Drosophila melanogaster: one gene and its partner. The protein of the gene in region 2 interacts with the protein of the main gene of each other region in a pairwise test. Each region holds a gene or a part of one and is shown on either strand. Other genes may lie near its edges. The genes, in order: CtsK1 and fs(1)K10.

What was found.
Region 1: the proteins of fs(1)K10 (region 2) and CtsK1 interact in a two-hybrid assay, tested with the Drosophila melanogaster proteins (one large-scale study listed by BioGRID).

Annotation. Positions count from the first base shown.
Region 1 is NT_037436.4:13,992,186-13,997,135, reverse strand, and holds CtsK1 (cathepsin K1), read right to left. Parts: upstream 2,906-4,950; 5' UTR 2,785-2,905; coding exon 2,736-2,784; intron 2,346-2,735; coding exon 1,356-2,345; intron 1,277-1,355; coding exon 666-1,276; 3' UTR 565-665; downstream 1-564.
Region 2 is NC_004354.4:2,240,328-2,246,618, forward strand, and holds fs(1)K10 (female sterile (1) K10), read left to right. Parts: upstream 1-1,810; 5' UTR 1,811-1,981; coding exon 1,982-3,277; intron 3,278-4,129; coding exon 4,130-4,225; 3' UTR 4,226-5,714; downstream 5,715-6,291. Other genes in the region: kz (kurz), read right to left, coding at 1-1,179, 1,241-1,432, 1,501-1,575; Or2a (odorant receptor 2a), read left to right, coding at 5,904-6,291. UniProt on the Drosophila melanogaster protein: May be involved in localization of sqd to the oocyte during oogenesis.

The DNA of each region.
Region 1 (4,950 bases), on a different chromosome or scaffold from region 2:
TTAAATTTAGACTTATTTGTTGTTATATCAAATTAACTTATAAATATATTATTTAAAATGAACAATTAATCTAAAATGAAATGTAGTAGCAGTGAAAATTGTAGAATCAGTTGAAAGTATTCTTCATGTTATATTTTTAATTTATTTTAATTGAAAAACTGTAAAACGGGTTTAATGTAAAAATTCAATGCTTTGCTTGCAAGTTTTTTAAATAAGAAGGTATACTTATTTTTAGAATCATTATTCAAAGTAAAGATTCTTAAAACTAATTATATGTTTAATTTAATATTGATGAAATTAAATGATTAAAATTTTTAAAAATGTAGCGAGTTTTTACTGTAGAAATGATTTCCACTACAAATGGCAAAGACCCCGATTCGCATAAAACTGTTGCAACTTGCGCAAAGTTCAACTGGTAACTGGTCATTGTCTTCTAGGCTTATCGGCTTATCGGCATGGAATTAACTTAAGAAACACCATGGACTGCGGAGATAATGACCCAAGCTAAACTTAGCTCCATTTCCAGCCAAGCGGAGCAGTGATAAGATTCAAAAGACTTGGATTACAAAAGAGTTTATGAAATGTATTGCATATTTAGCGCCCTGTGGGCGTAAAAATAAAAAGAGTACACAAAATAAGAAATATGTAGGCGGGAGCGGGACAATCTACATCTCCACATAAGTGGGCATGGTCATAACACCGCAATTGTTCTTCTTGGCCGACATCAGGATGTAGCCATCGTTGCCCCAGTAGGTGGACCACGAGTTCTTCACCAGCCAGTAGTCCTCTCCATTGATCGAGCCATAGCCCACGGCCAAGACAGCATGATCCAGTCCATCTACATCGTTCTTGCACGTTGGCTCATAGTAAACTCCGTGCGAGTAGAAGCTAAATGTCTTGGGAGAAGCATCAATGGCCACCGACAGAGGACCGTGCTTGAGCAGAGCCAGCTTGAAGGCATTTGGATCGTTGGAGGTCACATTGACGAATCCCTTAATAGGTGCCACCAGCGTCACGTTGTTGACGTGACAGTAGCCATCCTGGCCCAGATAGGGACCGTACTCCTCCTCCGTGGGCACTCCGCCGGACTGCAGCATCCACTGGTACACGCGGAAATCCTCGCCACCATCGCAGCCATTGTTGCCATAGGCCCACGAGCAGTCAATCAACGCCTGCTGGGAAAGCCGGACCAGATTGCCGCCATTCTTCAGGAAGAAGGCGCCCTCCAGGTGACCAATGGTGCCAAATGACCAGCACGATCCGCACACAGATTGATCTAAGGGTAGTTTACGTTTTAAGCAATTCAATATTATCAAATTCATCTAAGTAAGTACTTAGGGAATGAATGAACCCACCTTTCACCGGAGTGACAGCGCCGTATAGCCGCCAGTCGTACTGGTCGGGAATCTCGTCCTTGTACTTGGGCACATCATAGGGGAACGGTTTGCCGGTGTTGTAAATGCCCGATGATTTGTATCCTCGTCGTGCCTTCAACTCCTCTTCGGTCTTGTCGGCCAAGTGATTAACGGCCAGCGTGTAGGTGAGTTTGGCCCTGTTCTTTGAGTGGATGTAGCGCAGGTTCTGACGGAAGATGTTCTTGCGATGCTCGTGTTCCGTGTCGCTGTGATAAGCAACTCCGTGCTTGCGCTTGAAATGGTGGAAGGCCTTGTCCACATGCTCATCGGTTCCGGATATAAACTCCTGCATGGGATTGAAGGTGGCATAGTGACCGGTGCCGGGTCCGGGGAATCCGACGCACTGCAGGCTGTCATCGATCTCGAACACCTCGTTGGGAATATCATCGTGCTCGTAGCTGTCATAGTCCAAGTAGTAATGATCGTAGTGCGATCCCAGCAGGGTGTTATAGCCCCTCATCTCGTAGCGCACGGGAATGGGCATTCGGCTGGAGGGATAATGCGGCGACTTCTTGTACCGCACCCACAGCGTATAGATGTTCTTCTTTTGGCCAATTGTCGACTCCAGGCGGAACTTGTCGCACGTGTAGCCCAAAAAGGATTCGGTGCCCACCAGGCTGAAAGGTTTCGCATCGGGCAGGATGCTCTGAATATCGACAGCCTGGTCGGCGGTGCCATTCACCTGCAGACAGGTTAGCTTGTTGTTCTCCGTCTTGGTGGTAATCGGTGCCAGCTTCAGCAGGGTTCCGTACTGACCCTCGCCAGCCAGTTGGTATGTCTTCACCATTCCGCCGTAGTAATCGATGCGGGATCGCCTCGTATTCTTGTCATACCAGGCGTAGAAGGGTTCCGCAATCTCGGCGTACGGAATGTACAGGGTTCCTTTGACTATGTAGTTTGGATCCCATTTCGGCGGATTCGTGGCATTAGCTATTGTCGTTGGCGAAAGTGTGGAGAGATTCAGATGAGAAATGAGCGGGAACTTGACAATAAGAAACGGTAAAGGGCAGCCATCGAGGTTTAAGCTCACGCCATTGCTTATATACTTCGTATATATACAGCTGCGGTCAAAATAGCAGTACATGCCCTTTTACGTTTATTTGATCTAATTTAAAAGTTTAATAAAAACATGTTCTTTTTACTTTTTAAATATACTTCATGGCAAAAAAAATGATGATAAGCTAAAGTTTCAATCCTAAAACGATGACCTCGATTGTTTTAATATATGCATGTGTGCATTAGTTTAAAGCGCACACAAACGCAGAAACAATTACTCTTTGTTTGGCTAAACACTTTAGCATTCTAACGTCTATAACTCACCTGAGAAAGCCAAGCCTGCGAGCAGGGCTAAAGCTAAAAACACTTGCATTCTTGAGAATTCACCAGAGAATTGTCTGGAATATTAATTGATCCCGACTCTAGTATACTACCTATCTTTTCGAAGAATTAAACTGTTCTGCCGGCTCAATAGTCCGATTGCTTTAACAACAACTTTCTATGGGTGAGGAGATAACGCCGCCGTGAAAAACATCGGTATTAATCGGTTGAAGAGCTTTCTAGTTTGTAATAAGAGCTTATCAAAGTTCTTTGCTTTTTGTCATGGTAGTATTTTATTCTACAAATTATTCGCAATTCTATGTAATCCGTTAACATTTTCTTTTATTTAAGAATTTCTTTATTAGAAGAAATATCTTTTCTGTTCACTTACTGAAGAATTGCTTCTTTATTTTAATAAAATATCATGTGCTTCGATTTTGTAACTTAAGAGGTTTAGTTTGATTTTGCAATATTATTTTAAATATCGATAGCAATTACAATTTTTATTGCGTGCACAGGGTGCACATGATTATACAGATATTTTATACATCTAGTGTGACCAAAGTGCTGAGATTAAATGTTTTTTTTTTTAATTTAAAATATTGGATGCACTTCTTTCTGGCTAAGCTTTCAATAAAAAATAATCGAAAAAACCGCGAATGATCTAATATTCAAGATTAAAATAGAAAAATTTGTCAGAAAAAAATAAAACCGTGTCTAGGGATCAAAATCGGGATTGGAAAAATTCTATTTTTAAATTCGTTAAACAGCTGACAGTCAGGAGGTATAGATAGTCACTCATCTGTCTCATCACAACGACTCTCTCTCGGCTCTCTCTTCCCTTCTCTCTGTGTCTCAGCGATATAAAGTCTCACCCTCTCTTCGGAACTTGAACCTACTCCAAGTTTTGCTGCATTGCGCCCGCTCTCAAACCGAACCGATAGTCGGACAGCACGGGATCCCGAAAGGACCCCGAGCAGATGTCAAGCTACCACCGAAGGAGCAGCATCGTCGTCGTTGTCGTCCTCGCCCACACATCGTTCTTTACCGTTACAGCTGTGGGTTCGGCTCAGTACCGTTAAGTTCGCCAATCGCACAAGTTCGATTCCCAAATCGCATGGTTTTTTTATACCAGCAAGAACTAGACAACACACAGATATCTGGTAATGTTGTAAGACGTGGATTAATGCAAACTGCAAACCGTACAAGTGCGCCGTACAAGAAAACGCAATTAAAAGTGCATTAAAAATTAAACGAAAAGTGCTTGTGTGTGCGTGCCAGTGAGGCAAAAAGTTTTGCCTGCGCCGAATTGGCCAAAGTTAAATGTTTTAAACGCCAAGTTAGGCGAATTATGTGAAAGTTTTAACGCGATAGGCGAAAACAAAATGTTTCTGTAATTGGCGGCGGAGGAAAAGCAGTCCGAAAAAGGTAGCAACGTTGCTGAAAATGAAATCAAACTTTGATTTATCGCTGATTGGTTCCTGATTGGCTGTTTTGGCAGGCCTTTTGAATCCCCACACAAAAACAAGAACTCCCAGACGAACATACATATACATGATCCATCCACATACATAGGTACTACAATACAATACATATGTATGTACATAGCTGTTGGCGTTTATATGTATGTGTTTTTGGTTCAAATCTGTATAGTATTATGGGCATAGAGGAGCATTTCCTGCCCTTGTCACAGTTGTTACATTTTCTCTATTCCGCCGCTCACCAGCTCACACAGTCGGTCATCAAAAAGTCAACAAAAACAATATAAATTATGTTCGTGGAAAAGCACAAGCAGCAGGATGCTAGAAGACCTTGAATGCCTCTTAAGGTGTAATTGGATATTGACGTGGAACGAAAATTGCATTTTGAGCAAGGAATAAGAGCTTCTTTGTAAAAGGATTGTTTGTAATATGAAGCATATTTGTTTTGGCCTTTTAGTGGAATGAATGTGATTCAATATAAAAATACTTTTGACTTCGTTTTCTCTCAATTTTTAACAAGAAATAGTTAACCATTTAGTGTAGATAATCAAAATCCTATGTGCGAAACTAGAGAATCATTTATTTCTCCCTAAAAGAGAAATATGTAAATAGTAACGTCGTATCCATTTAAAAAAAGACTAGTAAATTTAATTTTTAAATAACATTTACCTAAATTCCTGGAACCAAACTGAAAGGCAAAACTTTCTTATTTATGAGCCCTTTTCAAAAGTTTGCCA
Region 2 (6,291 bases):
CACAAAAATTAGTATGCCGCCTTCCGGAAGCTTATTATGGATTTTTAAGGTCTTGCGGTAAGCCTCCGCCACATAGTCATCAGGTGTGCGCTTCTGGAAGTGAATAGTCACCGGAAATTGTCGAGCCTCCACTTTAAGCAACGGTGGCGGAATCTTAAACAAGCGAGTATTCTCTGTAAAATCGGATACCCGCAAAGTGGCAGACATAATGATCAGCTTCAGCGGCTGCCCGCGTTTGTGACGCAAGGGCACGATCCTTGACAGGAGACCCACTAGGATGTCTGTGTAAACACTGCGCTCGTGCGCCTCGTCCAGGATGATCACTGAGTACTTACTAAGCAGAAAGTCAGTTTCGATCTCCTTAAGCAACACACCATCTGTCATGAATTTAATGCGCGTCGCTGGTGTTACGTTTCCCTCGAAGCGAATGAGGTATGACACCTCGCTCTCCGGCAGGTTCATCTCGTGGGCCACCCGCTTGGACATGGCAATAGCAGCCACTCGCCGCGGCTCCGTCACTCCAATCATCTTGTGCTGGGCATACCCCGCTTCGTACAGGAACTGCGGTAGCTGGGTAGTCTTTCCAGAGCCAGTCTCACCAGCCACGATCACAATGGGGTTTTCGTTGATTGTCTCCATCACCTGCTGCTCCTCCGCGAGGATAGGCAGTCGAAGACGGGCATTCTGAACTTCTGTTGTCCGATGTACGGGCACATAGACAGTCTGGTGGATACAGGCAGGTGGGTTAGGCTCTGGCTTCAACTTTTTAATGGGTGGTTTAACAGCGATTTGCGGTGGAGCTATAGACACTGGAGTGGGTATGGCAATAGGAGCGGATTGAGCTGGTGCCTCCTCATCGTCCTCATCAGAGGATGAAGAATCTTCGTCATCTTCCTCCACGCTAATTACATTCGGATTCTTTCGCTTGGCCTGTAGTTCCTCCTCCTCTTCGACGAGAAGCTTGCGCTTGGAGCCCTTTATAGCATTTACGCGGAGACCCGACGCCGAGCTTTTTTCAGCTAAAACTTGGGCCTGTCTTTCCTTTTTCTTGGCTAGATACTCGTCAAGGGTGGGTAGACGCTTTAATCCCACGGTTTGCACTTGGCTAATGGAAGTATACTGCTGCAGCTCCTCCTCCGGAATTTGAACGGCAGCAAGGTCACCCAACAGCTGAGCGCGCTAAATTAGAAAAGATTTCAATTAAATATCAGTTTTATATTAGCACTGAATAAAAACCTACACCCTCTTTCTTTTTCTTCTTGTCCACAATAGCCTGGAGGTGCTTGCGCTGCTTCTTGGAAAGGATCTTCACGTGTTGCACTTTGTCCACCTTAATCTTGGTGGCCCGCTTCTCGGAGGGCAGAACCAGAGCGTTGGCCTCATCGTAGCCAACCTGGTTGCCGCCGGCCACAGCATCCACATCGATCTGAATCTGTAGAGTATTGGATTTGGAAAGGGTAAGAAAGCGGATTCGAGTGTGTGGTCCGACGGATGACCTACCTTCTTCACGGCCGAGTTGTCCACAATTGTTTGTGGATTCTGCCGCGCCTTGGCATTGTGCACCTTCTTGCCCATGATTACTTTACTTTACCAATATAGTTAATAAAATAAAGTAACAGAATTAACTTTGGGCAATAATATAAACATTGATTTAAATCACACGTGCGAAGTACGCTTATCGATAACAGCGCAGGCGATAACAAAAGTTGAGATACTCTAAAATGTGCTGTGATGTTACATTTGTGTTAGTGGAAACATACATTAGTGGGAAAAACTGATTGTTATAGTTGTTCACACTCCTTCGACAGCACTGGTATCGAAACGTTATCGCAATCGATTCATCGTAATATTTTCAATATAAGTTTTTGTGACAAATAGGCGTGCAACATTTTAGATCCATCTGCTCCCCGCCTGTCGTTTCGGCTTGGCTCCTCTGCTCGAGTCCTGAACCCCCGTTTTCAGTGAAATCCAGCTACCTGCAATGGTGTCCAAGAACCAATTCTATCAGAACTGGACCATGCAGTCGCAGCAGCAGCACCCGCACCAAATGCAGCAACAGTTTCAGCAACAGCAGCAGCCAAATCTGCAGCACCGCAACAACCAGAGCAACAATAATAATTGCAACAATAATCCCCGCGCAGCTGCGGCTCCGTATAGAAAACCGTTTCGTTCGGGCAAAATTAACTCCGGACCAGGAGGAAATGGGAATGGTAACAGGGTCAACGGTAACAATCAGATGATGTTTTCCTCCAGCCAAATGCCGAGCGATCCCCTGTACATTGACTTCAGCAGCCCGCCACCAGGATTCAAACACAATCAGGTAGGCAGTCCCAAGAAGAAGTCTATGAAGGGCATCAAACAGCAGCAGCATCCCAGTCCGAACCAGCAGCAGCCTCCCAGTCCGAACCAGCAGCAGCATCCCAGTCCGAACCAGCAGCAGCATCCCAGTCCGAACCAGCAGCAGCATCCCAATTCGAACCAGCAGCAGCATCTCAGTCCGAACCAGCAGCAGGGCAAGATGAACAACCAGAACAACAATCATATGAACCAGTCGCAGCAGCCCTTCAACAATCAGATGAACGGAAGCGATTGGCAGCGCCATCCGGGCAACAATCCCAATCAGATTCGCGGTGGCTTTAATGGATTCCAACGCGGGCCGCCTCCGAACCGTCCTCCTCCACGCCTCATGATGGGTCCGCCAATGGGTCCGATGGGCCCCGGACCACGGGGACCCGGACCGATGGGCCCTGGAGGACCTTACCCGCAAATGCCTTTCCCGCCACCGGTGCCTGGTATGCGCGGTCCCGGACCCATGGGCCCCATGGGTGGACCACCACCGCCGCCGCCACCGCTCTTTATGCGTCGCAACGGACCCGGTCCAGGTCCTATGATGGGTGTCCCACCGCCCATGCACATGATGGGTCCACGGATGCCGCCGCGGGGAATTCCACCGGTCGGACCTTATGGACCAATGAACATGAATGGCGGCCGGATAATGAAGCCCAATCCCAAGCTAATCAAGCAGGTGGTGAAAGGCAAGAGCAGCATAAAGACACTAAAGAACCTGATCAATCAGTATCCCATCGAAAAGCCCTGGGTAACGGACGAGATACGCAGCGAGCACGACAAGAAGGTGGACATCGAGAACAGATTGAAGGGCCACAAAGACGACGAGCTCTTCGCTCAGTACAAGGGCCAGCGGGACAAGTTCGTTAGTCTCTACGAAGCGGCGCGGGAAGAGTATCTCAAGCAGGAGGCAGCCACTGTCAAGGCCAAGGTGAGCATATAGAGACCCCCCAACATATCCTTATTCCCTTGGAACAGGTGTCCCATCCGAAGCTCTATTCAGGGAGGCACACCGATTCCGGGTACAGTTTCGGCTTAATCCGGAATCACTTTGCACCCCTGATTTGATCCGTAACCCCCACCCGTCCCTCTTTGTTGCGTTTGCCGGGCGGTAGGAAAAAAATAAGAGAGCAGAGAAAGTGAAAAAGTAAGTCTCAACCTGATGCACTCTCTCGCATTATCCTGCAGTCCTGCGGAAGGTTGTTGTCATATCTATTTTCACCTTCGGTTGTTCCCTTGGCACTGATATATATCCGCAAAAGAGAAACTATTGGCATATATTTACAACCATAGATTTATTAGGAACTGAACAAAATTGTGTAACTATTTAGAACTGCAATACAATGTGTTTACTGCCACCTTGTATACAAATTTAAAAAACTAATAGAATTTTGTACTGTTCGATCGTGGCAGGCGTAGTAGATTCATAAATGCACTCTTAGTAACTTAATATTCTTAATTGAACGAGCCTCAGTACTGAATCCTATGGCTGTTTTCATTTTCCAATTTGGTTGGCATGTGAAAAGCGAACTTAATGAATTTTAAACTGCCAGAACATCAATTTAGTTACTTAATTAGCAGATATAACCCAACTTATGAAACTCATTGCATATGAAATGATAATGATTTGAGTGATTAATGTTCGTGGGCGTAGTTATCTGGAAATAGCCAAGAGAAGTTCGCAGAATGCATTTAATAGCGAAAACAGATCTGAGAGCTCTTTTTACACACTCAACAACCTTGCTATTGAACACCGTTGGCAATTCTCGTATTTCTTTTGCAGGATGCCAAGTCAGACAAAGACAAAAACGCAATTTCAAGTCAGAGCGCAGCCCCTAAGGCCGGAAGCGCTAAAGATGCAACAATTCCAAATCCCTAGGCAGCCAATGCAACCGAATCCGAATACCGAATCAATCGAATCGAACCGACTAAAGAAGAGGTCGGTCGACTCACAGAACTAAATGTAAACTTAAACTTTAAACCAATGAGCAATTCAAAACTAAAACTAACAGCGAGCAACAGCAAGAGTCTGACAATTGAAGACGAATATAACTCAAAACCCCGACTCCTATATCGGATATACGTATACACAATCGTAATCCGAGGAGGCGCCGCCTTTGTCACACGTTGCTTTTGCGACTGAGAACTGAGCTTAGAACGATAATGTAGCAACAAATACAAACCCAGCGATAATAATGTGGGCGAAACTCTAGTAATAGCGATAAAAATTTAGATTGCGAATCGATTCACTTGTCTAACGTAACCTAGCGTAACGTAAAGTAGAGTATTGAAATGTAACCGTAACGTAACGTAACGTACCAGTTTCCTATTCGAAAACTATTTGTTGTTCAATTCTAAGTTGCAGCCATTTCAAGTATGTGTACACAATTTATGACACGCCCTTACCTATATATGTATGCATATATATTGATATATATATATATATAAATTATTTTCCTATTCGTTGCCCGAGTGCGTGGGCGCGACATAATTGAAACAGAGTGGCCGGATCCTAAGCACTCTGGCATAAATCACACTGTAGGCCTTAGATTACACCACTTGATTGTATTTTTAAATTAATTCTTAAAAACTACAAATTAAGATCACTCTGTGAACGTGTGCTCGATGGTGTGCATCTACGGATTTGTTTTTGTGTTCTTTTTCCCCACCCAACCCCGTCCCTGACCCAATTCCGCTGTTCTCTTTACCGACTTGTAGATTAATCACGCTCTTGATCTTCATGACCGGATCCACCTGACAAGTAACGCCAAAGCAGCCCCACTTAGCGGAATAGTAGAGCCTAGGGGACCCAACGTAAAAACTCTAGTATAGCACCAATCTCCCAACCAGTTAACATTATACCTAAACCCATGGTCAAGAGTAAACATTTCTGCCTTTGAAGTTGAGAACACAATTAAGCATCCCCTGGTTAAACCTGACATTCATACTTGTTAATAGCGCCATAAACATAGCACCAATTTCGAAGAAATCAGTTAAAAGCAATTAGCAATTAGCAATTAGCAATAACTCTGCTGACTTCAAAACGAGAAGAGTTACAAGTATTTGTAAGGCACAGTTTATAGACCACCGACGGCTCGTTAGGGCTCGTCATGTAACTAAGCGCGGTGAAACCCAATTGAACATATAGTGGAATTATTATTATCAATGGGGAATATTTAACCCTCAGGTAGCAAAGTAATTTAATTGCAAATAGAGAGTCCTAAGACTAAATAATATATTTAAAAATCTGGCCCTTTGACCTTGCTTGTCAGGTGCATTTGGGTTCAATCGTAAGTTGCTTCTATATAAACACTTTCCCCATCCCCGCAATAATGAAGAATACCGCAGAATAAAGAGAGATTTGCAACAAAAAATAAAGGCATTGCGAAAACTTTTTATGGGGGATCATTACACTCGGGCCTACGGTTACAATTCCCAGCCACTTAAGCGACAAGTTTGGCCAACAATCCATCTAATAGCTAATAGCGCAATCACTGGTAATCGCAAGAGTATATAGGCAATAGAACCCATGGATTTGCCCAAAGGTAACCGAGACAATGGAGAAGCAAGAGGATTTCAAACTGAACACCCACAGTGCTGTGTACTACCACTGGCGCGTTTGGGAGCTCACTGGCCTGATGCGTCCTCCGGGCGTTTCAAGCCTGCTTTACGTGGTATACTCCATTACGGTCAACTTGGTGGTCACCGTGCTGTTTCCCTTGAGCTTGCTGGCCAGGCTGCTGTTCACCACCAACATGGCCGGATTGTGCGAGAACCTGACCATAACTATTACCGATATTGTGGCCAATTTGAAGTTTGCGAATGTGTACATGGTGAGGAAGCAGCTCCATGAGATTCGCTCTCTCCTAAGGCTCATGGACGCTAGAGCCCGGCTGGTGGGCGATCCCGAGGAGATTTCTGCCTTGAGGAAGGAAGTGAATATCG